Linked DNA regions of Oryctolagus cuniculus. The protein of the gene in region 5 binds, or shares a complex with, the protein of the main gene of each other region. Links are inferred from orthologs where the notes say so. Each region holds a gene or a part of one and is shown on either strand. Other genes may lie near its edges. The genes, in order: DAB2IP, DCP1A, ARHGEF7, ARHGEF6, PAK1 and MAP3K5.

Evidence for each region.
Region 1: PAK1 (region 5) and DAB2IP share a complex: the UniProt entries of both Homo sapiens proteins name them as parts of the cytoplasmic complex. The link is inferred for Oryctolagus cuniculus from reciprocal best matches to the Homo sapiens genes PAK1 and DAB2IP.
Region 2: PAK1 (region 5) and DCP1A share a complex: the UniProt entries of both Homo sapiens proteins name them as parts of the cytoplasmic complex. The link is inferred for Oryctolagus cuniculus from reciprocal best matches to the Homo sapiens genes PAK1 and DCP1A.
Region 3: the proteins of PAK1 (region 5) and ARHGEF7 are in contact, whole or in part, in an NMR structure (PDB 1ZSG), measured with the Homo sapiens proteins. The link is inferred for Oryctolagus cuniculus from reciprocal best matches to the Homo sapiens genes PAK1 and ARHGEF7. Residues at the interface, in NP_001363202.1 of Homo sapiens: Thr185, Pro186, Pro188, Val189, Ile190, Ala191, Pro192, Arg193, Lys198, Arg203, Ser204; in NP_001106983.1 of Homo sapiens: Lys192, Phe193, Phe195, Thr198, Asp201, Glu202, Glu217, Gly220, Trp221, Trp232, Pro234, Ser235, Asn236, Tyr237.
Region 4: PAK1 (region 5) and ARHGEF6 share a complex: the UniProt entries of both Homo sapiens proteins name them as parts of the cytoplasmic complex. The link is inferred for Oryctolagus cuniculus from reciprocal best matches to the Homo sapiens genes PAK1 and ARHGEF6.
Region 6: PAK1 (region 5) and MAP3K5 share a complex: the UniProt entries of both Homo sapiens proteins name them as parts of the cytoplasmic complex. The link is inferred for Oryctolagus cuniculus from reciprocal best matches to the Homo sapiens genes PAK1 and MAP3K5.

Annotation. Positions count from the first base shown.
Region 1 is NC_091432.1:225,758,842-225,763,834, reverse strand, and holds part of DAB2IP (disabled homolog 2-interacting protein), read right to left. Parts: intron 2,606-4,993; coding exon 2,452-2,605; intron 339-2,451; coding exon 240-338; intron 1-239. UniProt on the Homo sapiens protein: Functions as a scaffold protein implicated in the regulation of a large spectrum of both general and specialized signaling pathways.
Region 2 is NC_091441.1:96,540,078-96,545,070, reverse strand, and holds part of DCP1A (mRNA-decapping enzyme 1A), read right to left. Parts: intron 4,119-4,993; coding exon 3,360-4,118; intron 393-3,359; coding exon 327-392; intron 1-326. UniProt on the Homo sapiens protein: Necessary for the degradation of mRNAs, both in normal mRNA turnover and in nonsense-mediated mRNA decay. Removes the 7-methyl guanine cap structure from mRNA molecules, yielding a 5'-phosphorylated mRNA fragment and 7m-GDP.
Region 3 is NC_091440.1:2,006,742-2,011,734, reverse strand, and holds part of ARHGEF7 (rho guanine nucleotide exchange factor 7), read left to right. Parts: intron 1-1,283; coding exon 1,284-1,383; intron 1,384-1,957; coding exon 1,958-2,012; intron 2,013-3,349; coding exon 3,350-3,472; 3' UTR 3,473-4,993. UniProt on the Homo sapiens protein: Acts as a RAC1 guanine nucleotide exchange factor (GEF) and can induce membrane ruffling. Functions in cell migration, attachment and cell spreading. Promotes targeting of RAC1 to focal adhesions. May function as a positive regulator of apoptosis.
Region 4 is NC_091453.1:114,519,198-114,524,027, reverse strand, and holds part of ARHGEF6 (rho guanine nucleotide exchange factor 6), read left to right. Parts: intron 1-1,282; coding exon 1,283-1,382; intron 1,383-3,742; coding exon 3,743-3,797; intron 3,798-4,830. UniProt on the Homo sapiens protein: Acts as a RAC1 guanine nucleotide exchange factor (GEF).
Region 5 is NC_091432.1:68,609,857-68,615,305, forward strand, and holds the start of PAK1 (serine/threonine-protein kinase PAK 1), read right to left. Parts: upstream 3,678-5,449; 5' UTR 3,095-3,677; intron 1-3,094. UniProt on the Homo sapiens protein: Protein kinase involved in intracellular signaling pathways downstream of integrins and receptor-type kinases that plays an important role in cytoskeleton dynamics, in cell adhesion, migration, proliferation, apoptosis, mitosis, and in vesicle-mediated transport processes.
Region 6 is NC_091436.1:32,274,513-32,279,505, reverse strand, and holds part of MAP3K5 (mitogen-activated protein kinase kinase kinase 5), read right to left. Parts: intron 2,468-4,993; coding exon 2,290-2,467; intron 2,212-2,289; coding exon 2,043-2,211; intron 1-2,042. UniProt on the Homo sapiens protein: Serine/threonine kinase which acts as an essential component of the MAP kinase signal transduction pathway. Plays an important role in the cascades of cellular responses evoked by changes in the environment.

The DNA.
Region 1 (4,993 bases), about 160 Mb from region 5:
CTAGGGACAAGTGGGCACAGGGCTCCAGGCAGAAGGCTGCAGGGCCAGCTCCTCCTCCACGTGTAGCTTCAAGAACACAAGCCCAGAGCCTGGCCCAGCCTGGCCGAGTCAATCTCCTCGTTCAGGGCGCAAGAACATTGCCCACGCAGGCTGCTCCCATGCCAGCCCTCGCCCTCCTGCTGCCTCGTGTCTGTCTGACCTCCATCCCCCGTGCTTTGGCAAGAGAGGCACAGAACTACCTTGTTGGGGTGCACTGCTCGCCGCAGGTTCTCCATCCACTTATCCCGCTCGGCTGCTGACCGGCAGGAAAAGCACTTGCTTCCCGATGACGTGGTCACCTGTGGGGACAGGCAGGACGGCGTTACAGGGGGAGGGACCACGCAAGGCTGAGTGGCGACAGAAGACCTCCGGGGACTGTGGTCTCCACTGTGGCCTCAGGTAGGAGGCAGGACAAGGCCCTTGTTACCCCACAAGGTCACGTCCTGTAGGCAGTACACTGAGACCCAGGACCCGGAGCAAGCCAGCAGCAGGACGGCGGCCCCACCTGCAGCGTCAGGCTCCTGCTCCAGGCTCCTCAACCTTGCCTCGATGTCCTTTGGTCCAAACAGGAAAGCAGTTCCTGACCCCAACCTGCCTGTCCCTGAGACAGCGGCAGAGAAGGAACAGGGCCCCTGCCGGGTCACAGGGCAACGTGCAGCCCAAGGGGAGCTTCACTAAGGATACACGCACGGGGAGGTATGACAGGCACCTCAGCTGACCTTGTCGGAGGGTTCTCACTGGCCAAGCAACAGTGACGACGTTGGGACCTGAAGCCTAACGCAAAGCCGGCCTGCAGAGACGTCAACTGGGCTGTTCGGGTGCGCCGTGGGGTCACCCTGCCCTCCCTGCCTGCCTGACTCATCTCCCAGCCCCAGCTTGGACGTCTCTCCCAGGTGAGGGAGCCTGGCCCAGGCTGCTTCTGCAAGTCCCCACTGCCCCCGACACCAGGCCCAGGGCTCCCCTGGGGAAACCAGACTCCTTCCGCCGCACCTGCACACCCACAGCACCCCTGCTGTGAACAGGCGGACAGGCGTGTCTCAGGCCGGCCCCAGCAAGGAGGTAAGAGCCCGGATCAAGCCTGGCTTGGCCAGGAAGCCTGAACCAGAAAGGTCCGCCAGTGGGCACGGGTGTGGGATGGATGCCACCAGGCCAGGGGTGCCAGGAGGCTGATACGCTAGTCCCCAGAGGCTGCTCCTCTTTCTACCAGAGGTCCCCAAACTGTCAGGGGGGGTCGTCCCAGAAACAGGAAGACGACGCGAGGGACTGGAGAAGCAAGCAGAGGCTCCCAGGAACGCTGCTGGGCTTCGGCCTTGCTGGGTGACATCTGACAGCTTCTTGCCCTGCTGGGCCTGGTTCGCTACCTCCCGGGACAGACCGCACGGCAATCCCCGGGTAACACCCTGCCCTGGCTGCGTCAGAGAACAGGAGGAGCCCCCACTCTCCCGCACTGATTTGCGAGCGGAGGCAAGCAGGGTCTAAGACACAGGCTCTGGGGCTAAGCAGCTCCACACAGGCTTTCTTCATTCACGCTCACCCACTGGAGCCAGCAGCTCCACGGGCCAGCATGGAGAACAGCTGCTGGTCCATTTCCACACATCCCGGCCTCCCCAGCCCCAGCTCCCGCTGCACCAGGAACCCCAGCCACTGTCCCCCAGAGCGGGGGTGGGGGGGGAGGGGGCGGCAGCATTGCAGCCACCCTGTGGGGAGACCCCACCTCACAACCACCCTGTGGGGAGACCCCACCTCGCAACCACCCTGTGGGGAGACCCCACCTCGCAGCCACCCTGTGCGGGGGACCCCACCTCGCAGCCACCCTGTGCGGGAGACCCCACCTCGCAGCCACCCTGTGCGGGAGACCCCACCTCGCAGCCACCCTGTGGGGGACCCACCTCACAGCCACCCCGTGGGGGGACCCCACCTCGCAGCCACCCCGTGGGGGGACCCACCTCGCAGCCATCCTGTGCGGGAGACCCCACCTCGCAGCCACCCTGTGGGGGACCCACCTCGCAGCCACCCTGTGCGGGGGACCCACCTTGCAGCCACCCTGTGCGGGGGACCCACCTCGCAGCCACCCTGTGGGGGACCCACCTCGCAGCCACCCTGTGGGGGGACCCACCTCGCAGCCACCCCGTGGGGGGACCCACCTCGCAGCCATCCTGTGCGGGAGACCCCACCTCGCAGCCACCCTGTGGGGGGACCCACCTCGCAGCCACCCTGTGCGGGGGACCCACCTCGCAGCCACCCTGTGCGGGGCACCCACCTCGCAGCCACCCCGTGTGGGGCACCCACCCCGTGCGGGGCACCCACCTCGCAGCCACCCCGTGTGGGGCACCCACCTCGCAGCCACCCTGTGCGGGGCACCCACCTCGCAGCCACCCCGTGTGGGGCACCCACCCCGTGCGGGGCACCCACCTCGAAGCAGTAGTCCTGGCCCAGGATGCTGCTGTGCACCGGCTTGATGAGCACCTCCTCCTCCATGCTGAGGTCCAGCGCCTCCACCGCACTGCTGGGGCTGAGCAGGGACTCGTGGGAGCGGGACTCCTTCAGCCTGGGCATCAGATGGGACCTGGGGAGGTGGGCATTGGGAGGGTCAGGTGAGGACTGCCCCAGCCAGGGCCAAGCTCGCGCCACTCCCCAGCCCTACCCACCCCGTCCCTGTCCCCTCTCCCCTCCCCAGAGGCAGGGGCTCTCCCCTGAGTCTGTTCTCCCTTCCGTTTTAAGACAGATTGGGGCTGGGGAGGAAGCCACACCAAAGAGCTGGCTGGATGCAGAAAGCCTACAGGGCTCTGGCCCTTTCCCACTTCCTCTCCCTTTTGCCCCGGCCCTGTTCAAAACCAAAGCATTCACCGTGTCCTGGCACCTGTCCAGGGCACCACCGTCAACAGATTCCATCTCACACCCTGAGCCCTGCCCCACGCAAGGCAGGGGAGCCCCGGGGACCTCTTCCTGAACAGGACAGACAAGCTCAGAGCGGCGGGAAGGCTACACTCTGCACGGAACCTGAGATATGGAGCCGCCCTGGGGTCCTCGTGCAGGGGCTCAGGAGCCCAACACAGGCACAAGGAACAGCGGTAGCTGATGCCCCCTGGTACCCAAAGGGAGGCTGGGCCTGGACTGGTCCACTGCCCACTGTTCTGTGGCCCTGGGCAAGCCACTTCCCCTTCACACCTCGCCTTTCTCAGCGCATCGCATGGCACTTCTGACTGCACCTGCTGCATGGTTGGTAAAGTTCACGCCCGAGAGTGGATGTCCTCTTGCAGGGCCATCTGCATGAGCAGGGCCTGAGGAGCCCTCCTGCAGCCGGAGCACTGGCTGCTGGTACCCACGGCCCGCACCCCTGCAGCTGGCAAGGAACCTGCCCCACACTGGGCCCATGCAGACCTCCTTCTCCAGATACTCTCTGCCTTTGGCTCCTGGCCTCCCATGAGCCAAGGGCTCCATGTGACATGAAGACCCCACCTTCATGTCTGCCCGAGACTCAGGCCCCAACCTCCAGAGACTCGCGGCCTGGCAAGGTCACCAGACCCAGCCTTGCAAGGCACACATCCTGTACACCCATTTCCATGACTGCCCGGGGGGAGGGGACTGAGGCCCTGACTCTGGAAGGGCCCTGCCCAGAAGGCCTCCCAGGCTGAAGGACACCCCCCACCCCCACACCTCCATGGCAATGCCCCTTTCCCCATGCCCCTCCCCCACCATGGGATCCGGGGTTTTGTGTTAGGCGCGGTGAAGGATCAGAGCTGGAAATTAAACCTTAGCCCTTGGACACTCACACAGTCCACCCTAGGAGACCCAGGCACCCTCCTCCCACTGGCTCTCTGGGCCCAGCACGAAGCTGGCCTCTGAAAGCTCTGAGAGAATGGACAGAACCAGAGGGAAGCTGGGGGACAGGCTGAGGCAGCTAGGAGCACCCCCAGGGAGCCCCCATGGAGCTCCCCAGCATGGCCCAGCCTGGGTGCTCCTGCTGCCCCACATCTCCCTGCCCCCACCACGTCCCAGTGCCCAGAGGAGCACGCCACACCGTTCCAGGTATGCAGACCCCCAATCCCTACTCAGACAGCCCTGCCTCCTCCCACCGCGGCACTGACCAATGCCACAGGCCAGTCTGCTTTCCCCTGGGCTGGGCCCGGGCAGCCTCCTCCCAGATGGGGCTCTGTACCTCACTGGAAAAGATGCCTGACCTCAGACGCCAGCCAGGCTGTCACCTGCCTGGCATGGGGTGGGACCCACTGCCCCTAGGCCTGAGGTCCTAGACCAAAATCACAGCCCATGGACTCCGATCAGGCTGCATTCCGGCCCAGCCTGGGAAACCCTGCCAGGTAGGGACGCTGAGAGCCAGGGTGGAAGGGGCAGGGACCCAGGAATAGGAAGGGAGGAGCCGGTGAGCTGAGGCGGCCTCCTGCCTCAGGCATCCTAGCACACTTGGCCTGGGGGGGAAGATGGGTGGGCATGGTGCAGACAAGCGGACCTGCCCAAGGGGCCTTGCTCCTGCAGCCCAACAAGCCCAGGCCAAACCCCCAAACCGCCCGAGCCTGGGGCCTGTGGCTGCAGATCCCTCCCCTTCCTTCCCCACCATCCTGTCCCACAAACACGCCCCAGCTGGCCCGGGTGCCGTGGGAAGGCTGCTGGTGGAACAGAGGGCCGTGGGAAGCTCAGGGCCCTTCAGGAGCCCTAGCTCGGCCTGGCCCAGCAGGCTGCAGCTGGGCAGCCTGGCGCTCCCACGCCCTCTCCACGGGCTGCTTCCAGCCCTGCAGGTCAAGCTCACTGGGAGGAAGAACCGGGCAGCTCCTGGATGGGGGAGGCAGGAGCCTCTGCTCTCTGAGGTGTGCATACAACTCCTGATCACTGGGGAGTCTCCTTGCCAGCTCTCTGCCTACCAGGCCCGGACACACAGCATCCTGCGTCCTCACCCCAGCTGGGTCCAGAGACTATGGTGACCCAGCTCAGAAGAGAA
Region 2 (4,993 bases), on a different chromosome or scaffold from region 5:
CTGGAAAGAAGTCTGATGTCAGGTGTGGTGAGTGACATGTAAAAGAAGCAGACAGGGAGGCCACAGAGGGGACAGCGGAGGCAGTGCATGGAGGCTTTGCTGTCAGGGCAATGGTACATGGGAGGTCTGGAGCAGAGTGGTGGCTCTGCCCTGGGAAGCCATAGCTTTCCAGGCTGACAGCTGCACCTGCCCTCCATCACAGTCAGGGAAGACATGATACACAGGTGACTTAACACCTACGGAGACCACAGCAATGACCTCTGTGTGGGAAGCAGCAGCAGGACCGAAACACATGAAATGCTTTCTTCAGAACAAGGGGGCCTTACCGGGATGGCACTGGATAACATCTTAGGCTGGGCAAATACTTCAGGATCCTGGTTTTGCTGCATAGACTGAAATGTTTCAAAAGAAGAGATAAATAGATATGGCAGGTTTCAGTGAAATTTCCTGATTACTGGTAAAAAAAAATCTATTTTAGCAACAAGAAATGGCTAAGCCATTAACCAGGTCTCAGATTCCCAAGGGAAGAGGCTGACAGGACTGTGACAATGACTCAACCTCCCCCTGCAGTTCCCCCGATGAAAGGTGTGCTTAAGTAGTCCCTAAGGAACAAAGCAGAAACCTGTATCTCAGAGTTGGGAGCTGTGCAGGCGTATTTTTGCTGTTGAGTCTGTAAAAATGACAGATGTTGGCAGCATGACACCTGGTAACAGGCTGTTTAAACCTGGACAGGTAGTACTGAACAGCTGCTACCCAGAGTCAGCCTTTCACATGCAGTTTTTCCTCATTCATTGGAGAGAGACAACTTGTAGAGCAAAGACATGAGAACTCTATGAAGCCCTGGTCTTTGTATTTACTGCTGTGTAAATGGAAATTTATACGCAGGGAAGCATGCCCTGCCAAGAAGGAGGCTAGGGCAGGGTGCTATCTCCAGGCTGCAGAGGGCAGTGTCCAAGAATGCTGGTGTGGGGCTGGCATTGTGGTGCAGTGGGTTAGACTGCCACTTACCACATTGGCATCCTGTATCAGAGTGCCAGTTCTCACCCTGGTCTTCACTTCCACTACAACACCCTGCATGCCTGGACCCCTGTACCCACATGGCAGACCAAGGTGGAGTTTCTGGCTCCTGGTTTTAGCTCAGCCCTGGCCCAGCTTGTTGAGGACACTTAGGGATTGAAACAGCAGATGGAAGATCTGTTTCTCCCTATCATCCTTTCAAATCAATCAATCAATTCATAAATAGAAAGGTCTTTTTTTTTTTTTTTTCCAGAATGGTTCCTCTAGCCACAGTGGCACATTTTCTTTAAACAGATTTATAATTTATTTGAAATGTGGAATTGCAGAGGTAGAGTGAGAGGGAGAGAGGGGGAGAGGGGGAGAGGAGAGAGAGAGAGAGAGAGAGAGAGAGAGAGAGAGAGAGAGAGAGAGAGAAAGAAAGAAAGAGAGAGAGAGAGAGAGAGAAAGATCTTCCATTTGCTGATTCATTACCCAGACGGTTGCAACGGCTGGAGCTGGGCTGATCCAAAGCCAGGAGACAGGAACTTCTAGGTCTCCTAAATGGGTGCAGGGGCCCAAGGATCTGGGTCAACGTCTACTGCTTTCCCAGGCCATAGCAGAGTCCTGGATTGGAAGTAGAGCTGCTGGGACTTGAACCAGCACCCATATGGGATGCTAGCACCATATGCAGTGGCTTTACCTGCTATGCCTCAGCACTGGCCCTTAGGTAAGTCTTAGGGATAAAAAGGACTGCTGTTGTGTTTCTTGAATCCTGCAGCAGTGGTAGCAGGCATGTCTGTTTAACAGAATATTCTCTCCTCTCTGTAACACAGAGAAAGGGCTGGAGGAAGACAATATAAATGCTACCAAGACCCTAAGTTTCCCCTCTATCACTACAAGATTTCAAAGGAATGGAACAAAAAAGTTAAGAAATAATACATAGCAACCATGATGGGCTTTTCCATACATTATTTGGTACAATGTTAAGATTGGGGATTATCATCATTGTTACAGATTTGATTATTTATTTGAAAGGCAGAGTTAGAGAGTGAGCAAGCGAGAGCATGAAAGAGATCTTCCTTCTGCTGGTTCACTCTCCAAATGGCCACAATGGCCAGAGCCTGAGCCAGTCTGAAGCCAGGAGCCAGGAGTGTCTTCTGGGTCTCCCACGTAGGTGAAGGGCCCCAAGCACTTGGGCCATCCCTTGCTGCTTTCCCAGGCACATTCGTAGGGGAAGGATCAGAGGTACAACAGCTGAGACTCAAACTGATGCTCAAATGAGATGCCGGCACCACAGGTGGCAGCTTTACCCACCATGTCACAGCACCGGTTCCTATCACTATTATTAAAGGGCATTATTAAAGGTCCTATAGGGACTCAGTACTGATGCAGAGTAGCAGGTTTTATACTATTCCAGTTCCGTGACCTTGCACAAATCACCCAATCTGGTTTTCTCGTTTGCATATCCCACACTTATGAATTACTGTGAGGGATAAATCTGTTTTTCCTCTACACCTGATCTACCACTGAGTCCCACTGATGAGACATCTCAACATATCCACATGCACACACTTCTTGATCCAGGCCCTGCCAGCTCTAACCCGAGTGCCGCCCTCTTCCTTCATGGCACCTCACTCTGCTCAGAGACTTCCCAGGCTCTGAAAACAAAGTACTGAGGGAGCTGGGAATGGGAACTAAGTTCAGGATAATCTGGGGATCTTCCTGACCCTGAACCAAGACAGACAGGGGCTGGCACTGTGGTGCAGTGGGTTAAGTTGCCACTTGGGACTCCAGCATTCCATATTGAAGGGCTGCTTTGAATTCTGGCTGCTCCACTTCTGATCCAGCACCCTGCTAATACACCTGGGAAGGCAGCAGAAGATAGCCCAAGTGCTTGGGCCCCTGCCCTCTGTGTGGGAGACCAGAATGGAGTTCCAGTCTCCCAGCTTTGACCTGATCCAGACCTGGCTGTTGAGGCTATCTGGCATCTAGGTAGTGAACTAGTGGATGGACGATCTCTCTCTGTTGCTCTACTTTCAAATAAATAATCTAAAAAACAAAAAGCAAGACAGATGAAAAAAAAATCCTATAGTGCATACTTAGGCAATATAAACGTGGTTTTTTTATCTGTTATCAGTGGGATAATTCTGGAAAGTGAAACTGAGTTACACCATTGTCTAGTAATTACTTGGTTGGTCACGGGGTGGGGGGGATTCTCCTTCCCCTTTCTCCTGGTCCTTGGTTTCCTTTAGAGATAATTCTTTCAAACTATCCTGTCTCACATCAGTAAAAATCAAGGTCTTTGCAGTTAGTCTCATCCAATCAGTTACCCACCCTGCCCACCCCGCCTCTGTTGCCACTACCTGAAGGGGAGCAAGCACCATGTTGCTCAAGGAGGCTGAGGCTGCTGCTCTCGCTGCCGCGGTCTTAGAGGGAGGCTCGATGAAGCTCTCAGGTGTGGCCAGCTGGCCAGCTGCTGGGCACAGGGTGGGTGCCACTGCTCCTTTCCCAAGTGTCTGCGTCTGTATTTGGTCATGCTGTGGAGTCAACCTGAGTTTATGCAGAAGATCAACGCTTGGGAGGGATGCTCCAGCTGGGTTTGTCACGCTCAGTGGGGCTCTGAAGGGACTCTGGCTGGCAATCAGACTGCTGTGGCTTAGCTCAGAGACAGGCTGGTTCAGCAGTGGAGACCTCTGTCTAGGCGTGGTCTTCACTGCTTGCATCATAGTGCTGTTTCGAGACAGGCTGGGGGGAACCTGCGCAGCAGGGGCGTCACCTGGCAGAGTGGGGCTGAGAACGGGGCTCAATGGGATTGTGTAGCTTGGGGCATGCTTTTCACTGGAGTGTGTGATGGAGGCTGGGGTGATTAGCACCGGGGTGGGGACTTCTGGCTGGACTGAGTGGTGGGCAGCAGAATGGACACCCGGGTTTTCTGATGGAAGGCCTCCTCCTGCTTGCTCAAAGGGGAATGGAAGGAAGGAGCTGGGTTCTTTCTGGGAGGCCTCTCCCGGCAGCTTCTCCACTTCTTCTGAATCCAGACCCATGACTGCGGGCTGTTCCTTTGGCAAAGAGGTTCCGAATAGCTCTTCTACCGTCAGATGTTTGTGTCCAGACGGAGCAGACTGAAAAACAAATCACACCACTTAGTTAAAAGAAACCTCTGGCAAATCACTGTAACCAAACTTGTTACCTAACAACTAAAACAGTAGTAAGGAATGGGACAAACTGAAGACAGGCTACAGGTACTTTTGGTCTTCTCTAGGTTAGTGGAAGGAAATCCACATGCGTAATTACCCTCAAATTCTAGGAACTTCAGATAATATAAGAAGACTTCATGGAAAATGGAACTGAAAGATAATTTTGGTGCAAAAATGTTTTGAAATCCTTATGTGGTTTTGTCACAATACGCATTGTTATGAACTTTCTGAAGATCCTTATGTGCATGAACTTGAATTTTTCTTGTACCAAAACAAACACCTTCATTCCCTTTTCCATGAGCTTTGTGAAGTGCCCTCCTCATGTCAGATTTACTTTTCCCTGAGGAGATAAAAGATGAAGGGGCAATGAATGAGCTTCCTACACAAGTGAACTGTGCCTGAGTGCCTCCTGTCAGCAACGTGCACAGAGAGTAAACACACTGCAACCAAATCAATCTACCTTTAATCCACTATTCTTGATAAAAAGCTAGGTACTGCACCTTGGGGCCTGGGTCTCAAACACCAGATAATAAAGCTTAACCAATCAATTGTTAAATTAAAAGAGGCCATTCCTCTTCTCTTCCCCCAAATCACAGGACCCTTAAGAAAAAGCAAAGCATTTGTGACCAAAAATTCTAAATTCACACACACATTTTAGTTGACTGGTTTATTGACACCATTGCACCCATGTGAAGGAAAATGTTTCTGGGGGCTAGTGCTGTGGCATAGCAGGTCAAGCTGCTGCCTGCAGGCAGGACCGGCATCCCATGTGGGCGCCGGTTCTAGTTCTGGCTGCTCCT
Region 3 (4,993 bases), on a different chromosome or scaffold from region 5:
CTTGCAGACCCTGTCTGAGACCCTGGGGAGACTGAGCTGCCAGCCAGAGGGGGTTCTTGAGCCCCGTTCCCTGAAGTCAGCCCCGTGCTGGGGTCGGGCTGGGGCTGGGGTGTGGCCTTGCCGGGCTGCCAGAGCCGCTGGCCGGCAGAAGCCAGTCGTGCACCGTGGTCATGCCAGCGTGAGCAGGAGGGCCAACCGAAGCCTGGACCTTGGGACCCCTGGGTGACCAAGGAGGGGCCGGCAGCCTCTGCTGCCTGAACGAAGTACTTGTGTCGGGAGGGTGGGGCCGGGAGACCTGCCAGGGCCAGTCCCTGTCCCTTGGTGCCACTGTGGGAGTCTGACGCTGCTTGCGTTCCGAGGAGAGCAGGCTGACCGCAGCCGCGGGGGATGCTCGTGGCCGTGAAGCCGTGTCTGCACAGCGCCCTCGGCGTCCGACGCCGGGAGCATGAGGCAGCCTGGAGGAGCAGAGCGAGTCTCCGCCTGTGAGTGCTTTTTCCTGGAGCAGCGTGGATCACAGCCCCGGGCCGCCTCCCGCAGGAGACGCCGTCTTCCCTCCAGCCTGTGTCTGGCCTTGTGTTTCAGAACTGCGGACGGTGTGTGTGGTCTCACAGCTGAAATAAAAAACCGCTGCTTCCTTGCCTCTTACTAAGACTTGGTTTTCTTCCCTCCACTTTGCAAATGAGTGTCAGAGTCTCCCAGTGCGTCTCAGCGGCACAGATCCGCACCGGAGCCTGCCCGAGGTCGGCCCGGGCAGGCTGCGTGCTCGGGTGCCGGCGCTGGGATCCTCCGGTGTTGTGAACAGCGTCTTTCATGTAGAAGAATGTGTATGTGTCCGGGAATAATAAAGTTTGTGTTAAAAAACCGGCTGCCGAGTGTCGCCTTTTTAGACACCGCTGTGATGTTGTCTGTAGTGTGCAGTGTGCCACTGCCGGGTGCTGAGTGGCAGGCATGGGGGGGAGGGGGTGTTGTCGGGTCTCGTGCGTCGTCCCGAGATTCCTGGGAGAAGGTGATGTCTCGGAATTTGTGACCTATGCAGACACTTGTGGTCAGAGCCTGTGGAAGGCCCCTAGTGAGGTTCAGGGACGCAGGTTTATGCATGTGACTCCCGGAAGGGCGGCGTGTGTGGGTGCGGGAAGGGCGTGCGGAGAGCCGCCTGTCTCGGGGGTCTGGGGGCGCAGCTGCTGGAGGTAGCGTCTGAGTCATGCTGTATAGTCAAGTTGTGTCGCCCAGCTGCCGCGTGGCGTTCACCTGAGCCGTTCTGTTTTTTATTTTCCCTACCCTAGGTTCACGCAAAGAATCTGCTCCACAAGTTTTGCTTCCAGAAGAAGAGAAAATTATAGTGGAAGAAACTAAAAGTAACGGCCAGACGGTGATGGAAGAGAAGTAAGACGTCTCCGCGTTCCCACTGCCCGTGCGGCTCGGGGGCGGAGGGCCAGTGCGGGCTGGGGCTGGGGGGCGGTGGGCCAGTGCCGGCAGGGGGCTGGGGGGCCGAGGGCCAGTGCGGGCTGGGGCTGGGGGGCGGAGGGCCAGTGCTGGCAGGGGGCTGGGGGGCCGAGGGCCAGTGCGGGCTGGGGCTGGGGGGCGGAGGGCCAGTGCGGGCAGGGGCTGGGGGGCGGAGGGCCAGTGCCGGCAGGGGGCTGGGGGGCAAAGGGCCAGTGTGGGCAGGGGCTGGGGGGCAAAGGGCCAGTGTGGGCAGGGGCTGGGGGGCGGAGGGCCAGTGCGGGCAGGGGCTGGGGCGCCGAGGGCCAGTGCTGGCAGGGGGCTGGGGGGCAGAGGGCCAGTGCGGTCAGGGGCTGGGGGGCGGAGGGCCAGTGCTGGCAGGGGGCTGGGGGGCCGAGGGCCAGTGCTGGCAGGGGGCTGGGGGGCAGAGGGCCAGTGCGGGCCGGGTGCTGGAGGGGTCTCCCCAGGCCTCTGCCCCCCCAGCCAGGCTGATGTCCTCATTCTTCTTCTGTCACAGGAGCCTAGTGGACACTGTGTACGCGTTGAAGGATGAAGTCCAAGAACTGAGACAGGTATGTCACTGTTGGTTTCGTGTGCGCACACATGTGTGTGTGTGTGTGTGTTCAATGGGAAAAAAAGGAAAAGCCCTCTGCAGATTAAAAAAAGGACCACGAGGAGATGGTGTCTGTCGCATCCGACCAGTGCAGCGGTGGCTCTGGGCGTGTGGCTGGGCCCGGTGGGAGCTGGGGCGTGGCCCGTGGGGACACTTTTGAGCCGAGGTCTGTGCTGTCGGAAGCCATCTGTTGGGATAATTTAGAACTCAGATCCTGCCCCCGAAAACTCCATGAGGTCCCTGATTCGTCTGTGCGGGCACATGGGCCAGTCAGCAGCATGTGTCACACTGGCCAGGGGTGGTATTGATGTGTATATGTGTGGTGTGTGCATGTGTACACATGTGTGCGCGTGTGTGGTGTGTACATGAGTGGGGTGTGTGATGTGCATGTGTGGGGTGTGTGCATGTGTGGTCTGTGGTGTGTGTTCACGTGTGGTGTTTTCACATGTATGGTGCCTGCACGTGTGTGGTCTCTGTGTGGTGTGTGCAGCGTGCACATGTGTGTACATGTGTGTACATGTGTGTGAATGTGGCATGTACACGTGTGGTCTGCATGTGTGCATGTGTGGCCTGTGTTCACACGCGTGTGGTCTGAATGTGTGCATGTGTGTACATGTGGTTGTGTGTGGTCTCTGGTGTGTTCACACGTGTGTGGTCTGAACGTGTGTGCATGTGTGTACATGTGGTTGTGTGGTCTCTGGTGTGTTCACATGTGTGTGCATGCATGCGCTGTGTGCACATGTGTGTGCATGTGTGGTCTCTGTGTGTACGTGTGTGCATTTGATGTGTGCACACGGCCTGGGTTCCCTGCAGAACCTGGAGAGGGAGGGGTAGGGGAGGTGAAGGCGGCAGCGACGCCGGGGCCGGGGTACAGGGTCCCTGTGGTCAGCCGTTCCCAGGGACGTCCATGGCATTCCCGGCCGCTCCCCGCCCGGTGTGACCCGGCAGGTCTCAGCCCCAGCATCCGGCCCAGCTCTGTGTGCTCCAGGCGCGTTTCAGTGCCGCGTGGGGCCCAGCTTAGCCGCACAGGCGGGCTCGTGGCCGCCCCTGCCCCTCGCGTTGGTGACTGAGGGCCTTGTCCTCGGGGGGTGCCGGGGCCAGAGCTGTCCACCACATCGTCGTGCTGCGTGGACTAGGCCTCGGGCAGCCCCGGCTGGGTTTCAACTGCCGAGGCCCCGGTCCCCGAGAGTGCGTGCGGGGAAGGGCAGCCCCGGCCGGGTTTCACCCGCCGAGGCCCCGGCCCCGAGCGTGCGGCTGGTGGCTGAGGCTGAGCGCTGTGGTGTGCCCGGCCCCCAGGACAACAAGAAGATGAAGAAGTCCCTGGAGGAGGAGCAGCGGGCCCGCCGGGACCTGGAGAAGCTGGTGCGCAAGGTGCTGAAGACACTGAACGACCCGGCCTGGGACGAGACCAACCTCTGAGGGCCGGCCGCAGCGGGCCGCACTCGGGAGGCGCAGGCGCCCAGGGCCCCCGGCACCGCCTCCTGCCGTAAGTGCAGAACCAGTGCAGAGCCCGGCTTCCCAGACTGTTGGGATGTGACGGACACGCGTGCCCTGCACCTCCTGCCCCCGACCGCGGACCTGCGTGCTGCGACTCCCTCCCCACACGCCTTCCTGGCGGCCTGCACCCCTGCCGTGCGCCCACAGCCTGACCTCAGACCCTGTGCGCAGGCGCTGCAAGCCCGCGGAGCGGCCGCCCAGAGACCCGGCCCCCACGCCCCGTGGGCTCCCGGGCTCTTCTGTGGCCGGTCTGACCACTCCACGCTGCACGGTTCCATCCTCCCCCGAGAGTTCCAGCACTTGTAAATAGAATGTGTTATTTATTGTGGCCCCAGCAGAGGGAGGCAGCCGGCCTGGCCGCGACGCTGGGAGCTGCTCCCAAGGGCGGGCTCTCCCTCCAGGCTGACTGGGCACAGCCCCGCCCGTGCGAGCCGTCCCCTCGGCAGAAGCAAAGCAATACACAGCCCAGTGCGGCTCAGTGACTGCAGCCCAGAGGCCCCACCGGGGCGGGCAGGGCAGGGAGCCGGCCTCGCCCAGCTCTGCGGGCCTTGGGCCTGGGAGGCTGTGGGCGCTCCCGGCCGGCTGTCCCCTCTCCCTTGGCAATAAGCAGTGGTGACCCAGGGCCTGGCCGGCCTTTCCCTCCTGTGTCGGAGATGACGGAACCTCCCGCAGAGCAGTTGTCGTGTCTCTAGAGACCTGTGTGACAGCGGACGAGACCGCGTGACTGCGCCTGCTGAGCCCTGCCTTTGACCCGGCAGCCTGGGGGTTGGTTCTGTCCCCGCACCCCTGCTGACGAGGGCACCTTCTCCTGCCCCAGCCCTGCGGCTGCGCGGCCCCTAACCCGAGTCGCCAGCGCTCTGTGTTGGCGTTTTCTACCTGTCTGTCTTGTCTTTTGGTGAGCTGCTCTCCCAAGCGGCTTTCTGGTGTTGCCCAGGACGTGCGGCAGAGGCGGGGGCTGTGTGCCGGCAGAGCCGCTGTGCCCAGCAGGCGTTAACTCAGGAACAACTGCCCCGCCCCCCGTGCCTCTGCCAGCCGTCAGCTGTGGTCTGTGGCCGGGGTGGGCCCCTCCAGAGCCTGCCTTAACCGGGGAGGAGGGCCGGTCCGTGTAAAGCCTCCCCTGAGCTGAGCCGCGCTCACCGTGGCGGCCGTGGGCCCAGCGCCTCCTGGATCAGAGACGGGTCTGCAGGGAGGGCTGCCCTCTGGTGCGCGGCCCTGTGCCTGTCGCCCAGTGACCTCCGGAAGGGGAGGAGCTGGCGTGGACGGGCAGGGGTGTGTGGCCCACAGCTGTCCCTGCGGCAAGTGAGGCCGGGCGGGCGTCTCTCCCTGCACGTGGGAAGCACTTCCTCTTGGAACCGGCGTAGAGATGTAGCATCCGGGACTTCCCGGGCCCCGGGCACCTGCCTGGGCTTGTCCTGGACTCTGTCCATGCCAATCATTCTCTCC
Region 4 (4,830 bases), on a different chromosome or scaffold from region 5:
CATGGATAAAATCTGGTTGTGGCTCTGGGCTTGCCCAAGTCTCCAATAACAAGTTTTGAGGAGCCAGGAGAAGAAACTGGGAGAAGTTTTTTATCATGTGAAATAGGAAAGTGAACCTTTTCACATGGACGGACCCGATGCGTCTACTCAGAGACACAGGCAGGAGCTCTAGCCTGAAGAGTCACCTTTTTGTTCCTCCTCCCTAGCCTCCTTTTTTACACATGGAAAGTGTCTAACACGGGGCTTAGCACACAGCAGACCTTTTAGAATCACGGTGATCTGCCAACATCTGTCTCCTCTCTAGAGCCAGAAATCTTGTTTCCCTAGAACTGACTTGTTTCCCTAGAACTTGACACTTACTGTCTTTAGTTGGCCCTTCAGTCAGTCTGCTGTTCCTCTATGAACCCCCCACAGTGTGTACCCTAGGGGATGTAGAGACACATCTCACCTCAGGTAAGAGGAGGTGATCAAGTAAAGGTAGTGAGTATGCACAGCTCTGAGAGAACTTGGACTGAAAGACAGGAGATCGGTGTTTGAGGGAGAAACAAAGAAAAACACTTGAGCTCTGAGAGGGAGAATCCAGAGTGAGGAGGAGGCTGTAGGTGCAGGAAAGCTGTTTCATAGGTCCCTGTGTCTGTCCTGTCATCTCTTCTGTCCCAGAGCTTGGATACAGTTTGAGCAGAGAGCAGTCAGGACACCTGCAATTTGGCTGCTGATGTGATAATCTCCCAATCCCATCCTACTTTTGATCAAAAGAGTTTAAATAACTTTGTCTTCCCTTGTAGGACTCTGAAGAGAATGAGTGAGCATTAATGAGGCTCCCAAAGCTCTTCAAACGTGCATGTCCCAGCACAGGGCTGCTCTCCACCTGACTTTTACTATAGTCGCTTAACACCAGAGCTTGTGTCATACCCTGGAGATGTACAAGGACACAGCAGTCACTGGTTAGCTCTCTGCTTTGGGGAGACAAGACAGGAAGGTGTAGTGGTCGTGTTGAGGATGGGCATTATGCTGGCCCTTTCACGTAATTTCTGTGAGTTTAAAATGCCTGCCCCACCCCCTGCCACCATGAAGATTGAATCAATATATTTGGCTATTTAGAATTGCTCATGTCAGGAAGATTTAGTTAGCCAAGTGTAGGGTGACTGCCCTCTGGGTGCCAAGTAGCAATGTCCTGTGAACAAAGGCCCTTCCATAATTATGTTCGAAATGAATGCAGAGCTAGAAATCCCATTCAGTAGTAACTCTCCCCCCTCCTTCATCCTGCAACCCTGGTTTGTAGGTGCTCGCAAAGATTCTGTTCCTCAAGTCCTACTGCCTGAGGAAGAGAAACTCATCATTGAAGAAACCAGGAGCAATGGCCAGACCATCATAGAAGAAAAGTGAGTAGAGCAGGCTAAACCTTTCTCACTGTGTCTGTAGGCTGCACAAACGATCCAGTAGAGTGGTGTGGCAATGTGACCCTCTTTGCTGAACATGTGGTGGAGTGGTGAGCCTTGGGAGGGATGCCTCCCTTACAAAGGAAAGAGGGAGGAGGGGCAGAGAGCCCAGAGCCCTGGGGAACAGCTCCACATGGTGGCTGTCCCTGCAGCCATTCCCCCATGCAGTCAGCTGCTTCAGGACATGCAAGCATATTTGTGCTCTGGTGGGTTTAGGAGGTTCCTGGGAAGGGTATAGCACACTCATTTCCCTGTCCAGAACCGCTTCTCATTTTTTTTTTTTTGAGTGAGGTGCTGGACTTTTACATACTTGACCTCATTGACAATCTTACAGCAATCCAGCAAGATAAGCATTCCTCTCACCATTTGTACAAATGAAGAAACTGAGGGACAGGAAAATGATGTCTCTGGCCTCCCTTTGCACAATAGTGAGTGTGGGCTAAAAGGGGGAAACCAGCTTAAATACCCCATGACTCGTAAAATAGATGCAAAGTGGCTAAATAATTCATTTGCTTCAACTTGAGTCATTTCTGCAGTCAGACCCAAATTTGCATAGGACAGCACATTTCAAAGGGCTTGGTATGTCAATATATCTTTACATCTGGTGTAAGAAATGACACAACAAAATGGTAAAGAACTTGGGCTCAAGACACGAAAAGTTCTGGCTCAACTCTCAATGCTTCAACTCAATAGCTGTGTGGCCTGGGGCATGCTCCTTCACCTCTATGCCTCAGTTTCTTCATCTGTAAGATGTGGGATGATAGTAATATTTTCAGGATTGCTGGTGGTCAAATGAAATGCTAACTTTTACAAAGGCTAGCATTCAACAAATGATAATGGTTTTACTGATGATGGTGATTATTGCAGCTATATGAGTCTTCATAACCTTTTGTGATTTCCCAGAAATGTCTTATTATCTCTAATTTACTAAGACCAAGGGAGGATGAGATGGGAACTGATTTTCCAAGGCTAGAGGACTAGTAAGTGGCAGGATTGGAGCTGGAACCTAAATCTCTGAAATCCTTGCCCAGGGAGAGAGCCAGCCAGAAAAAAAGAGAGAGATTGTTCTACAACCCAGCCAGGATGCTTCATCTGTTTTCTTTTTGTAGTATATGGAATTTCCCAGAAGTAATGCCACTGAATTCGTGTTATGTGGGGTCAGATAAATGAGAAAGGCAGTGCCATGGCACAGATAATATAGAATAGCCTGACAATGTTTCTTATCATGTGTTTGGTGATGTTCATTCCTGTATCAAAGATAGATAAATTAAAACCTTATGATGAGAATTTTTAAAAAACTTGAACTCATAGAAGCAGAGAGTAGAATTGTGGTTGCCAGGATCAGGCAGGTTGGGACATACAGGGAGACGCTGATCAGAGGATGTACAGTTTCAGTTATGCAGCATGAATAATTTCAGGATACCTAATGTAGAGCATGATGGCTATAGTTAATAATACTGTACTATATGCTTGAAATTTGCTAAGAATGCAATCTTTAGTGTTCCCACTACATACAAAAAATGGGGACTCTTTGAGGTAATGAATATATTAATTACTTTAATAGTGGTAACCATTTCATAGTGTGTGTGTGTGTGTGTGTATAATGATCATGTTGTACATCTTAAAATACATAGCTTTAAAATTATGTATTTATTAGACAAGAGGGAGATGGAGAGGAAATGTGTCTTCTGTCTACTGGTTCACTCCCTAAATGACTACAATGGCTAGAGCTGGGGCAGGACTTAAGCTGGGAGCCAGGAACCCAATCCAGGTCTCCTACATGGGTAGCAGGGACCCAACAACTAGAACCATTATGTGCTACCTCTCAGGGTGCTTATTAGCAGGAAGCTGGAGTCAGGAGCCAGAGCCAGGACTCAAACCCAGATGCTACAATGTGAGATACAGACATCTTAACCATGTCTAAAACTTCCAGGACAAATACCCACCCCTATACATTTTCTTACTGGTCAAATTATACCTTAATAGATACGGAAAAAGCCAAATCTTGTACTGTGCTCTTGTATAATTTTTCACTCACACAAGCTGCGAAGTGAGTAGCAAAGGAGCAGGGAAGTATAAAGAGAAAATGACATGGGCTTGGAATGGACATGTGTGGTGCTGGTGGTTCTGCCACCAAAATACGGGAAGTGAGAGCCCCTGAAAGCAGTACCATTCCTGCTCAGCAAGAAAGTGCTCTGTTTTTCAGGATTTGTATTCATATAGAGCTGCTTTTGTTGCTAAGTGTTATTCAACAATACTTCAGCACCAGCCATTCATCCCTGAATTTCATCTTTACATTCTAGGAGCCTTGTCGATACTGTTTATGCCTTGAAGGATGAAGTCAAAGAACTGAAGCAGGTAATAAATATAAGTGTCATTTTCTCACTGCCTCTTCCTTGCCCTACACAGATAGATGTTGTCAGGAAAGATCCTGGGGGCAAGGTGGTGAAGGGGATTTTTGCTTTCCTGGTGTCATTAGGGTGTACTTGTTGACTTTACCATGGGACCTTGGGTTTCAGTTTCTGCAGCTTGCTTATATTCCTGTGTAACAGCTTGCAATAGGGTTTCACAAGTAGTTACAACGTTTGTTCTCTGACATCATTTTCTTAAGAAAAGCCAAATCACTTGTGAGTACGTAACTATAAAGAGAATCCTAAAGCATGGTTTGTGGGCTCCTCTGCCGATGTGGTCCAGTGATCTGTGATACACACTCTGCTTTCTGTGTGAGGACTGACTGTAGCTGGTCACAGGGTGAGGAGGGCTGGGACGGGGAGAGACCGGGGAAGACCACTTAGGAGGTTCCTACAAAACTCAGGGAACTGAGGCAAGCCAGTGAGGTAGTGGAGGAGGAAAATGAATACAAAGATAGGAAGGTACCCTGTGGAATTCAAACCTAGGGAATATGAAGACATAATGTTGATATTAAGAGACAACCAGGGATTAAAGTACAACTTATTCTTTTGGTATTAAGATTGGTGTTATGATGCCCCTCACAGAGATCAGGAGCCACAGGAGAGGGAGAATTTTGGGGTGGCAAGGGAAATATTGTATTCATTTTAGGACTTAATGAGTTGACATTCTTGTAACTTATCCAGGTGGAAATATTAGGCTCGCATTTGGGATTGTGTACCCGGTGCCTAGGAGATGAAGTTAGCAACAGAGATATTTGGGAGGTCCCTTAATAGACAGTTTGAAAGGGAAGAGACAAAAAGTAAAAATAGCTTTAGAGAATACTTGTATTTCAGATAAGAGGGTGAAAGTCCAATCAGATAGGTAGGAGAATCAAGAGCTTCTTAGAAGCTGAGGGAGCAGAGTTTGAGGAAGGAAAGTATAGTCAGAGGCAAATGCTGCCAAGAAGATGAGCAGAAGCTTTGGGAAGGACCCACTCTGG
Region 5 (5,449 bases):
CCCAGCCCTGAACACTGCAGTCATTTGGGGAGTGAACCAGTGGATGGAAGATCTCTCTCTGTCTCTTTCTCTCTTCCTCTCTCTGAAACCCTGCCTTTCAAATAAATAAATAAATAAAAATCTTTAAAAAAAAAAAAACACATCTCGAAAGTGAGGGTGCTTATTTAGACTTGCAAAACCAAATTACAAATTCCCAAGAAACAATCCCTGCCTAGGATAGTTCAACAGCAGTTTTCAGGTAATGGCTAAAACAAACAAAATAAAAAGATAAAAAATCCTGCAGGCTTTGGTTGGAGAATGACAGATGTAAAAGGGAAGAAAATTTCTACCTAAAACATCCCCAAAAATGTTAGGAATCCTTTGGATTTACATATTAAAGTGTACTTCCTTTTCATTATGAGAATGATTCTTAACTATAACCCCAAAGTAGCAGTTGGCAGTAAATGGGACTAAATCACCTTATAGTATTCATTCAACAAACTCTTGAGTTCCTGCTCTATGCTGTCATTACTCTAGGCATTAGAATTAAAGCAATGGAGAAAACAGACAAAACTTCCTGTTCTCAAGAAGTTTTCATTCTCTTAAGACAGATTATAAGTGGGATGGAATGGAATGTCAGGCAGTAAGTGTCATGGAAGAAAAAAAGGGAGAAAGGGAGCTACTAGGGTATCAGGAGGCAATTCTGAAACTGGTTTGCAAACTTCAGCAAGCATCAGAACCACTTAAGAGAGCTTGTTAAAGCAAAGGTCTCTGTGGGAGCCCCAACCTCAGAGTTGTTCATGTGTAGGTTTCAACTAGTACCCACTGATTTGCTAACAAGATGCCAGATTATGCTGAAGCTGTGATCCAGGGACCACACTTTGAGAAACTATTAGGAATCTCTAACTCATGGGCCTTGACTTTATTCTTTATACACATATTCATTCATTTAAACACTTATTCAATGCCAGGTCCTTTGCTAGCCACTAAAACTAAACAGATCATGCCCTCATGAAATTCACAGGCTAGTGAAAAAAGATAAGCACAGACTTAACATAATTGTAATACAGTGCCAGACAGAACTAAAAACGTGGTGTGTACATGAGCCAGAGGATGGAAAGGCAACTTATTACAAGGACACCTCTGTAGGCAGGGAAGGTGAAGAAGGCAGACATTCTAGGCAGATGAAACAGCACAAGGGGAAGCACAGATGAGAAAAAAGTGGTAGGAGAGAGTTTACCAAAACTGAGGCTGCAAAGGTAGACAATGCTCAGATCTCCAGTTTCTAGTTCCAAGCTAAGGAGTCTGAAATTTATCTTTTGACAATGAATAGTCAGAGGTAGGAATTACTTAAGTGATTACGCTTTGTTTTACAAAATCCCTGTGGTTACACAAATGCCTTCCTTTGAGGTGCTGCTTCCTTCAAGTCTATACAGAGTCTCAAAACCTGTGCTCAATAAATGTATGTAGAATTTTACTTTTTCTTATGGATGAGGGGCCAGCCTGAAGAACTCAATTTGGCCAGAAGCAAACTTGTAAAACAGGTCCAGCAACCTCAATTATTGCACACTACTCCCTGTACAACTGAAGTCCCCCGGAGATTAGGGCAGGCTGCATTGTTTACTTGTCTACCTCACCCACTAGACTTTGAGCTCTTTGAAGACAAGGAAGGTCTTAACACTCTTGAAATCCCCATGGCTGTGGCAAGAGGCTTGAAGCAGATTCCAGTAATAATGGATAAGAGAATAACTGAATAAGCAATTTTACCAGGTAGACCCACGAGCTCACGTAAAGGTATGTATAAGGTTCAGGGAATGTTTCAGGGTCCATATTCCCAAAACTTTTTTGAGAATTAGAGCTGATGTGGGGTAGGTTTCATATGCACCTGATTCAGGATTTCCCAAACAGAAATTAAAATGCTACAAGTGCCATAGGAGAAATCTCAGTGGGCCTCTGAAAGCCCCAACGGGGAGAAGTCAGCTCTACCTGAGAGGGAGGGGACAGATGCCAGCAAAGACTTGGGGGGAGGCATATTCTTCACTGGACTCTTGAAAGTGAAGTAGGTATGCTGCCTACCTGCCCATTCCAGGGACACAAAAGCAAACTCCTAGAATTTTAAGGCTGGAAGTGACCTGCTCAAGGTCACACAGGAAGTAGGTAAAGCCACAAGGTAAGACAAATGAGGTATCTTTGTACTGTGGACTCCTGTTTTCTCCTGACAAGAGATGAGAAAGCTCAAATACACAGTTGACGAAATTAAACATTTTTCCCAAGAACAATTCTTTAAAGACAAGAGTGATGGATTTGAATGTTTATTGGTAACCACAATACCAACCTTTCCCTTCACCTTTCACAGTTAAAAAATACAGTGAAGTGTAAGACAATTATCCAAGGGGTTTAACAAGGATTTTACTGGCAACACCGACACACACCCAGTACTTCTTAAGTATTCTTCCAAAACACTGCCAGTAATGTTTACCGTTGAAATATTCAAAACAGTGAACGCTGTAATAATGTCTTTTGAAATGGAATAGCTAATACAAAACAACTATAATTCTCCCTTCCTCGATTGTTTTCACCTTCCTAAGTTAGGGAGTACTCCCGGGATGGGGGAAGGGCTGCATAAATCGCACTACTGTTTTCTTTTCAAGTTGAACCCTAACGGTGGCTCTCCAAGCCTGGACTGGGGAACTTTTCCACGCAGAATGAAGCGGGCGCCCTGTGGCCAGGCTTCCCCGTCGCGGGCCACGGTGAGCGCTGCGGGACGGCCAAGTTCGGGACGGAGCTGGTCCCGGACTCGGACCTGTCTGGTCTCCCAGCCTCGGCCCGGCCCCTCCCCCGCCGGGGCCTCCCCCCTCCCGGCCCCCCGATGTCCCGGCGTCCGAGACCGGCGGTCGCGCGGGTGCGTGCACAGGGGGCCTTTGTTGGCCCGACGGGAGCGGCCCGCCTCGCGGGGCGGCGCCCGCCTCACCTCACCTGGCGCCCCCGCCCGCCGGGACCCGGCGCCCAGAATGAATGCGCCCAGGGCCCCCACCCCGTCCAGCCCACCCCGACCGCGCGCCTCAGCCGGGACAGCCCGCAACGCCAGGGGCACCGACCGGAGGCCGGCTCTTACCTTCCGTGCTCGCTCTGCTCCGCTCGGCTCCTCCTCCTGCTCCTCCACCCCGGTGGCGGCGGCCGGGCCGGGGGTGAGCGCGCGAGTGTGCGCGAGCCGCCGCTTCACTTTCTCCCTCCCGCCGCCGCCGCCGCGCGCCTCCCCCCGGCCGCTGGCTCTGGGGATCCCCTCAGGACCGAGGGACCTGCGAGGGAGGGGGCGGTGAGGCGGGAGGAGGCGCTGCGGGGCCGGCTCGGTGGGCTGAGAGGGGCGGGGATGTGAGGGGCTCGGACGGCCTCGGAGGGAGGTGGGAAGTCGATGGGGAGGCAGAGTTCTTTGAGCGGGATTTTGGGGACTGCGGGGTTCGGAGAAAAGAAGAGTCCGAGGGCAAAGTGTCTCCGGAGTAGGACAGCAGAGCGAGGCGGGGAGGCGCGATGGGCGAGCTGAGGGGGAGGGCGTGTGTGGGCAGCCGTGAGGGGGCGTCCACTGTGTAGCCGGCACCTTCAGTTCCAGTGGCAGCCGCTGCCCGCCGCCGCCCCGCCGCAGGCGCCCTATTGTAAGCCGCCTCCCGGGCCCGACCGCCTCGCCCACCGGCCCCCGCCCCGCCCCTGTGAGGCCTCGGCGCCGGCGGAGCCCTGCCCGCCCCGCCTCCCGCAGGTGGGAGGGGGCGGGGAGGGCCGGCTGGCCCACGTGAGCGAGACCAGCCCAGGCGAGGGGGAGGGCGAGCGCCGGGATGACGTCATCGCCTCATGACGCCAGAGGCTGGGGAATCACCCGGTTGCCTGTGACGTCATTGCGCCCGCTCCTCTGCTCTCTGCGGGTGCTCTCAACCCGCCGCAGGTTTCTTTGCTATGGACTTTGTGACTGAAAACCTTTGGGCAATTTCTGGGATGGCTGCAATCGGAAAAAGGCGGCTAACCCTCAGGATTCAGGGACTGCTGCTTACAAAGCACCACCGCATTCGTTAGCTCATTTCCAAGGACTGAATTTGAAAACGGTTTCGTGTGATCTCAGAGCCACATTATCTATGATTCTAATTGTTTTCTTTGGGTAGGATGTGGGAGCCAAAGTGGGGAGACAAAGGATAACCATGGTGACCTGACACAGAAAAAAAAAAATGGCTTCCTTTCCCGTTTTTCTCTTTGTATGATGTCTACTTTCTCCAAACCTTGCCCTGGAGCAAAGATTATGTATTTACCAAAACCTCCCCCACAGCGTTCACCTGCATGCATTGTTGTACCTCAGATTCAACGTGTCCAGTACTGGACAGCATTGGTGGCTGAAAGTCTGGAACAAGATTGTCTTGCTTCAAATACGTATCATCCATATAAATGTTAGTAATAGGATCTTAACGTTTTTAAACCATACTTTCTCCATAATAAGTGGTACTTGTGTATCCTTAACTTAATCTCTCTAAGCCTACCTGAAGCCATAAAAATGATAGTGACAATTAAGCATAGTCAGCCCTTTGGAATGTTGACTATTACCAGTCATTTCCCTCCAACCTTGCGACTCTTGTGCCTTCCTGGTCTCAGTGAATCGACCACACAATCCAGCAGTCAGTGAAAACAGAAACCTGGACGAAAGTCCAGATTCTCTCTACCTGCCTACCAAACTGGACGTCAGGTCTTGTCAATTCTACTTTGCAGGTCCTTGCCCTTCTCTTCCTCCACCATCACATGAACTACTGGCGCAACCTTCAGTTGCTCCAGATCCAATCCACTGACCACCACAAATATGATGATGTCCTCCTCTATTTAAACACTCTGAAAGGTTTTTATTGCTTTCAGGATAAAGTCTAAAATCCTTAACCTGGGACTTCACAACCTGACTTTTTCAGCTCCATCACTCATCATATAGCTTTTCCTCCAGCCACACTAAAATACTATTTAACATTCTCGCAATACACACTTCTTCATGTCTCTGAGCCCTTCACTCCTTATGTGACTGGCCAACACCTATTGATTCTACAAAGCTGAGCTCAAATGTCATGTTCATTTATTTATTTGACTAATATTTCTAGAGTTTCCCTGAGCTTTGACAATTCTGTAATCCTATAGTATTTCCACGCCTTTTATGGCATGTAGTACTTTAATAAGGGAAGGAAAGATAGCAAACATCAGAATTTGCCTTCATGCCAACGGGCAAGGTTTATGAACTTTATCCACGAACTTGATTCTCCCTCCAAATTAAGGATTTTGAGGCGGGGCTCCCCTGCTTTTGGGAGCAGACTCCAGGAGATGGAAAAGCCAGAAAGACAGATCCTCTTCTGAAGCCTCCAGAAAGGAACAGAGCGCTGCCAACACCTTAATTTTAGCCCACTGACACCCATTTTGGACTTCAGAACTACAGAACCATAAAGTAATAAACATTTTC
Region 6 (4,993 bases), on a different chromosome or scaffold from region 5:
TTTTTTTTTAAAGATTTATTTACTTATTTGAAAGGCAGAGTTACAGAGAGGCAGGGGCAGAGGCAGAGGCAGAGGCAGAGAGAGAGGGAGGAGAGAAAGAGATCCTCTATCCACTGGTTCACTCCCCAAATGGCCGCAACAGCCAGAGGTGTGCCTATCTGAAGCCAGGAGCCAGGAGCTTCTTCTGGGTCTTCCACGGGGGTGCAGGGGCACAAGGAACTGGGTCATCCTCTATTGCTTTCCCAGGCCACAGCAGAGAGCTGCATCAGAAGTGGACCAGGCGGGACTTGAATCAGTGCCCATATAGGATGTCGGCACTGTAGGCGGCAGCTTTACCGCTACATTACAGCACCAGCCCCCAAGTACTTCTGAGGAAGGCTCCTCTCCACGTGGGCCTGAGCTGCCGCCAGCAGCTTGGAGATGAGGGAAAGTCTGTGTCTACTCATGCCTATTTGGGGAGGCAGGGATTTCTCATCTCTGTAATCAGAATACCAGTGAACACACTTTCCTAGGTATTAGGGACTGAATTCATATGCTGGTGCCTTAACTTCTAATGTGACCCTATTTTGAGAGATGGCCTCTTCATGAAGGTCTCATGAAGGTTACATGAGGTCATAAGGGTGGGTCCCTAGTCCCATCAGACTGGTGTCCTTACAAGAACAGGCACCAGGGACCAGGGTTACAAAACTGGCTTCCCATTATCAGAGAGCTGGTTCCAGTCCTGGCTGCTCCACTGCCAATCCAGCTCCCTGCTTACATACCTGGGAAGGCAGTTGGAGGACAGCCCAAGCCCCTGCCACCCAACTGAGATACTGGATATACTTCCTGGTTCCTGGCTTCAGCCTGGCCCAGACTTGGTTGTTGCAGCCATTTGGGGAGTAAACCAGTGGATGGAAGATCTCTCTCTGCATTTCAAATAAATAAATAAATAAGGAAATAAATCTTAATTAAAAATAAGAGGCAGCAGGGGTTCACCTGTACAGAGAAAAGTCCATGTGAAGGCACAGCGAGAAGGAAACCATCTGCATACCTAGGAGAGAGGTCTTCGGAGAAACCAAAGCCTCTGACATCTTGACCTTGGACTTGTCAATTCTAGAACTCAGAGAAAACAAACGTCTGTGGCTGAAGCCTCCTAGCCTGTGGTATTTTGCTTCAGCATCTCTAGCACACAAATACACCACGGAGCAACAACTTCATCACCCAGAATTGCTTGGTTCACTGCACACAGAACCCTCTAACAGCGAACAGCAGAGACTTCTTAGAGCTCTCACCCTGCATCTGAACCCAGTGCCACAAGAACCACGTCTCTGCTGTGGTTGTGATGCTTCCCAAACATTCAAAACCACAGCTGGCAGGTGGCTTCCTGCTAACATGGGAGTCAGAGGTACACAAGGCTCAAGGCCTGTTGACTGAACAAATGGAATTAAAAGAATAAACAAATGAACAAACAGGGCTGAAAGGGACTGGCTGTAACCTCTCCAACATAAAAAAAAATTGCTTCTGACTTAAAAATAGCTTCCTGGGGGGACACTAAGCCTCCACCTGTGGCGTCGGCATCCCATATGGGCACTGGTTCGTGTCCCGGCTGCTCCTCTTCAGATCCAGCTCTCTGCTATGGCCTGGGAAAGCAGTAGAAGATGGCCCAAGTGCTTGAGCCTCTGTTCCCACATGGGAGATCCAGTAGAAGCTCCTGGTTCCTGGCTTCAGATTGGCACAGCTCTAGCCATTGCGGCCATTTGGGGAGCAAGCCAGCAGATGGAGGTCCTTTCTCTCTGTCTCTCCCTCTCTCTGTAACTCTCCATTTCACATAAATAAATAAAATCTTTTTTAAAAAAGAATAGCTTCCCCATTCCAGTCTCTATATTAGGAACTGCTTCTTTCCGTTCCCAGGATAGTCTATCACGGCGAGCACCTCAGGGGCCTCATGGCTCCCATGCTCTGTGACAGCCCCAGGTGCTGTGACACAGGGAGAACTTGTAAGCTCTGGACACAAAGTATCACTGAGGGGTAGGGGTGGGGGTGGAGGTGGGGTGGGGCCGTACCTGAGCTAGAGATTCCATCAGGTTTCTCACAATTTTGTCTTGGTCTTCAGTCAGGATCCTGTGCAGCGTGGCGCGGCGCTCGCTGTCCTTCCGCAGCAGGAAGAACCCAGAGTCCTTCTCCTCGGGGGAAGGGGGTGCGCTGTGGTCCTCGAAGTTCTCATCTGGAATGCTGAAACGAGGGGAGCGGCATGAGGCGCAAGGTCCCGGGGAGCCACGCGCCCGCCCCCCGGGCCAGGCAGCCCTTTACCCCAGGAAGAGGGTCCGTATTCCTTTGACATCTTTCTCGCCGCAGGATTTGGCTCTGGTTTTGAAGGAGAAGGGGTCCGCCTTTAGCTCAGTGTCGGGGGAAACAGAGCCGTACTCGCTGCTGCTGCTCGTGTCCTCCACCAGGACGGGCACCGGCAAGGAGATGCTCCTGAGATACTCTGCGTGGACGAGAAGCAACAGGCATAACTCACACCTCTGACAACTGACACGTGGCGAGGGGCGGGCATTGTGGCACAGCGGGTTGGGACCCCGCATCCTCATCAGAGTACCTGGAATTGAGCCTTTGTTTCCCATCTGGCTTCCTGCCACTGCACCTGGGAGGTAACAGGTAACGGCTCGAGTATTTTGGTCCATTCTACCCTTGGGGCAGACTCAGATGGAGTTTCTAGCTCCTGCCTATGGCCTGGAGCAGCTCTGGCTGTTGCAGGCATTTAGGGAGTAAACCAGTAAACGGAAGATCTCTGTCTCTCATACTTGCGCGCGCTCTCTCTCTCTCTGCCTTTCAAATAAATTTTTGTTTAAAAAGTACACATGTTGAAATAGCTGCAGAAAGATGCCAACAGTCGTCTTCACGTATCTCAGTGCAATGAGAGGTGTAATTCTGCTACTCAAGGAGCTGGCTGTGTGACTGTGATTGCCCCGAGCTCAGTAAAGAAATGTAAGCCACGAAAGGGACTCCCGGGCCCTGAAAGGAATCTCTCAAGGATATGAAAGAGATGTAGAAGCACCAGGCTTCGGATCCCTTCATTTTATTAACTATTTATTATTTTATCCACAGGTCTCCATTTTCACATCTATAAGATACAGAACCAGATTCAATTTTTAGAGATGTATTTTATTTATTTGAAAGGCAGAGTGACAGAAAAACATCTCACCTCTTCTGACTGGGCCTGATCAATACCAGGAGCCAAGAACTCCATCCAGGTCTCCCGCATGGGTGGCAGGGGCCCAGGTGCTTGGGCCATCTTCCACTGCCTTCCCAGGCACATTAGCAGAGGGCTGGGAAACTTGTAATTTATAAGCCATGTTCTTCAGAGCTTTAAGAATCCTCCTTAGCACTGGGGTTGCCAAGGGTGGGGTGGGTGTGAGGCTGAGTCTGGACCACAGGTCCAACTCTATTTTTCTAAAACGAGTAACGCTCTGGCCAGCATGTATCTTGGCTTTGTATGAGGAGGCAAATGAAAAGGCATTCTCTGCTAAGAACAGATTCTGGAAAGCAATGGACTAATGATCTCTTTGGTCCGTAGTTCTCAGATACTATGGTTGTATAGCAAACACAGGCTTCTACTTTATTCAGATGGGGACTAAGCTGGCACAATGGGGGCTGCTGACCTTTCATCAAACACTGGTTTTAAGAACAAAATATTTGCCAGAAACGTTTTTATCAAACACGTATTCCAGCGCTCCAAAAGTCTTTTGCTAAAGAAGGCAGACGTGAAATTATTAGAAAAGAAATCCACTGTTGCCTGGAAACTCCTCTCTACTTGCTTCCTCTTGGGCTGGGCTGAAGCAGCAACTGGTCTCAAGGTCAGGAGACGGGGGTGGACATCTGATAAGCAGTTGAGATGCTGCTCGGGACGCCTGTATCCCACATCAGAGTGCCAGGTTCCACACCAGCTGCTCACTTCTGATCCAGCCTCCTGCTAATGCAAACCCCGGGGGCAGCAGGTGATGGCTCAGGCAGCTGGATTCCTGCCATCCACATGGAAGATGGAGTTCCTGGCTCTTGGCTTCAGCTTGGCGCAGCCCTGGCTCTTATAGGCATTCTGGGATTGAAACAACAGATGGAAGATCTCTCTCTCTCTCTCTCTGTCTCTCAGATAAAATGAAAATAGATTTAAAAATTTTTTTTAAAGTCGGGGGATGGCCAGTCAGCAGTGGCTTCCTGACTCCATTTGCTACAGTGACAAATCGATGCTCATGAACAGGATGGGGTGGTGGCAGTGGGCCACGGAGACAAATGGACATACTGGAGGAACACTCGTACCTCGGATTTCTGCCTTCCCTTCCTCCAACTCTTGTCAGATTCTGTGTATGTGCGTGTGCATGTTGTGTGCATAACTGGATGAAAATACACCTACAAATGCCATGATATTAATGGTAGTTATTTCTAGGAAATATAATTTGGGGTGACTGTGATTTTCTTTTATTTTCCCAGAACTTCTAATAATAGACAAATATTATTTCTAGAGTCAGAAAAGTATGTTAAAATATTTTTCATAAGCCAACATTGCACAGATAGCAAAACAGGATTACCAAGAACTTGATTTATCTAATAGCACACTTAATGATAATCTGCAGATTTAAATGTCCCATGACACAGCAGGAAATGAGATTTCCTGACAGCGTATCACCCCTCATTCAGGGAAGCTCTTCCACACCACTCAGTCTTGGAAAGTGTTCTCCAGCCACCTCCAGGAGCATCCTGAATCAGACACTCTTGCAGGTAGGACCCAACCCATCCCCTTGGTTATATCAGGGATGGAGGGAAGGACCATTTCAATAGTCTATCCCACTTACAGGGCAGGTGAGGAAAGCAGGTGCTACAGGGCTGTCAAGCACTGCTTTCACCTGGAGGGAGGAGGAGGAAGGGGATATACACAGCTTCTGGGAATGGTTGGCCTCAGGGTCTCTTACTGGGCAGATACCAGAGACTCTCCCGGTACAAGCTGGCTGACCTATCT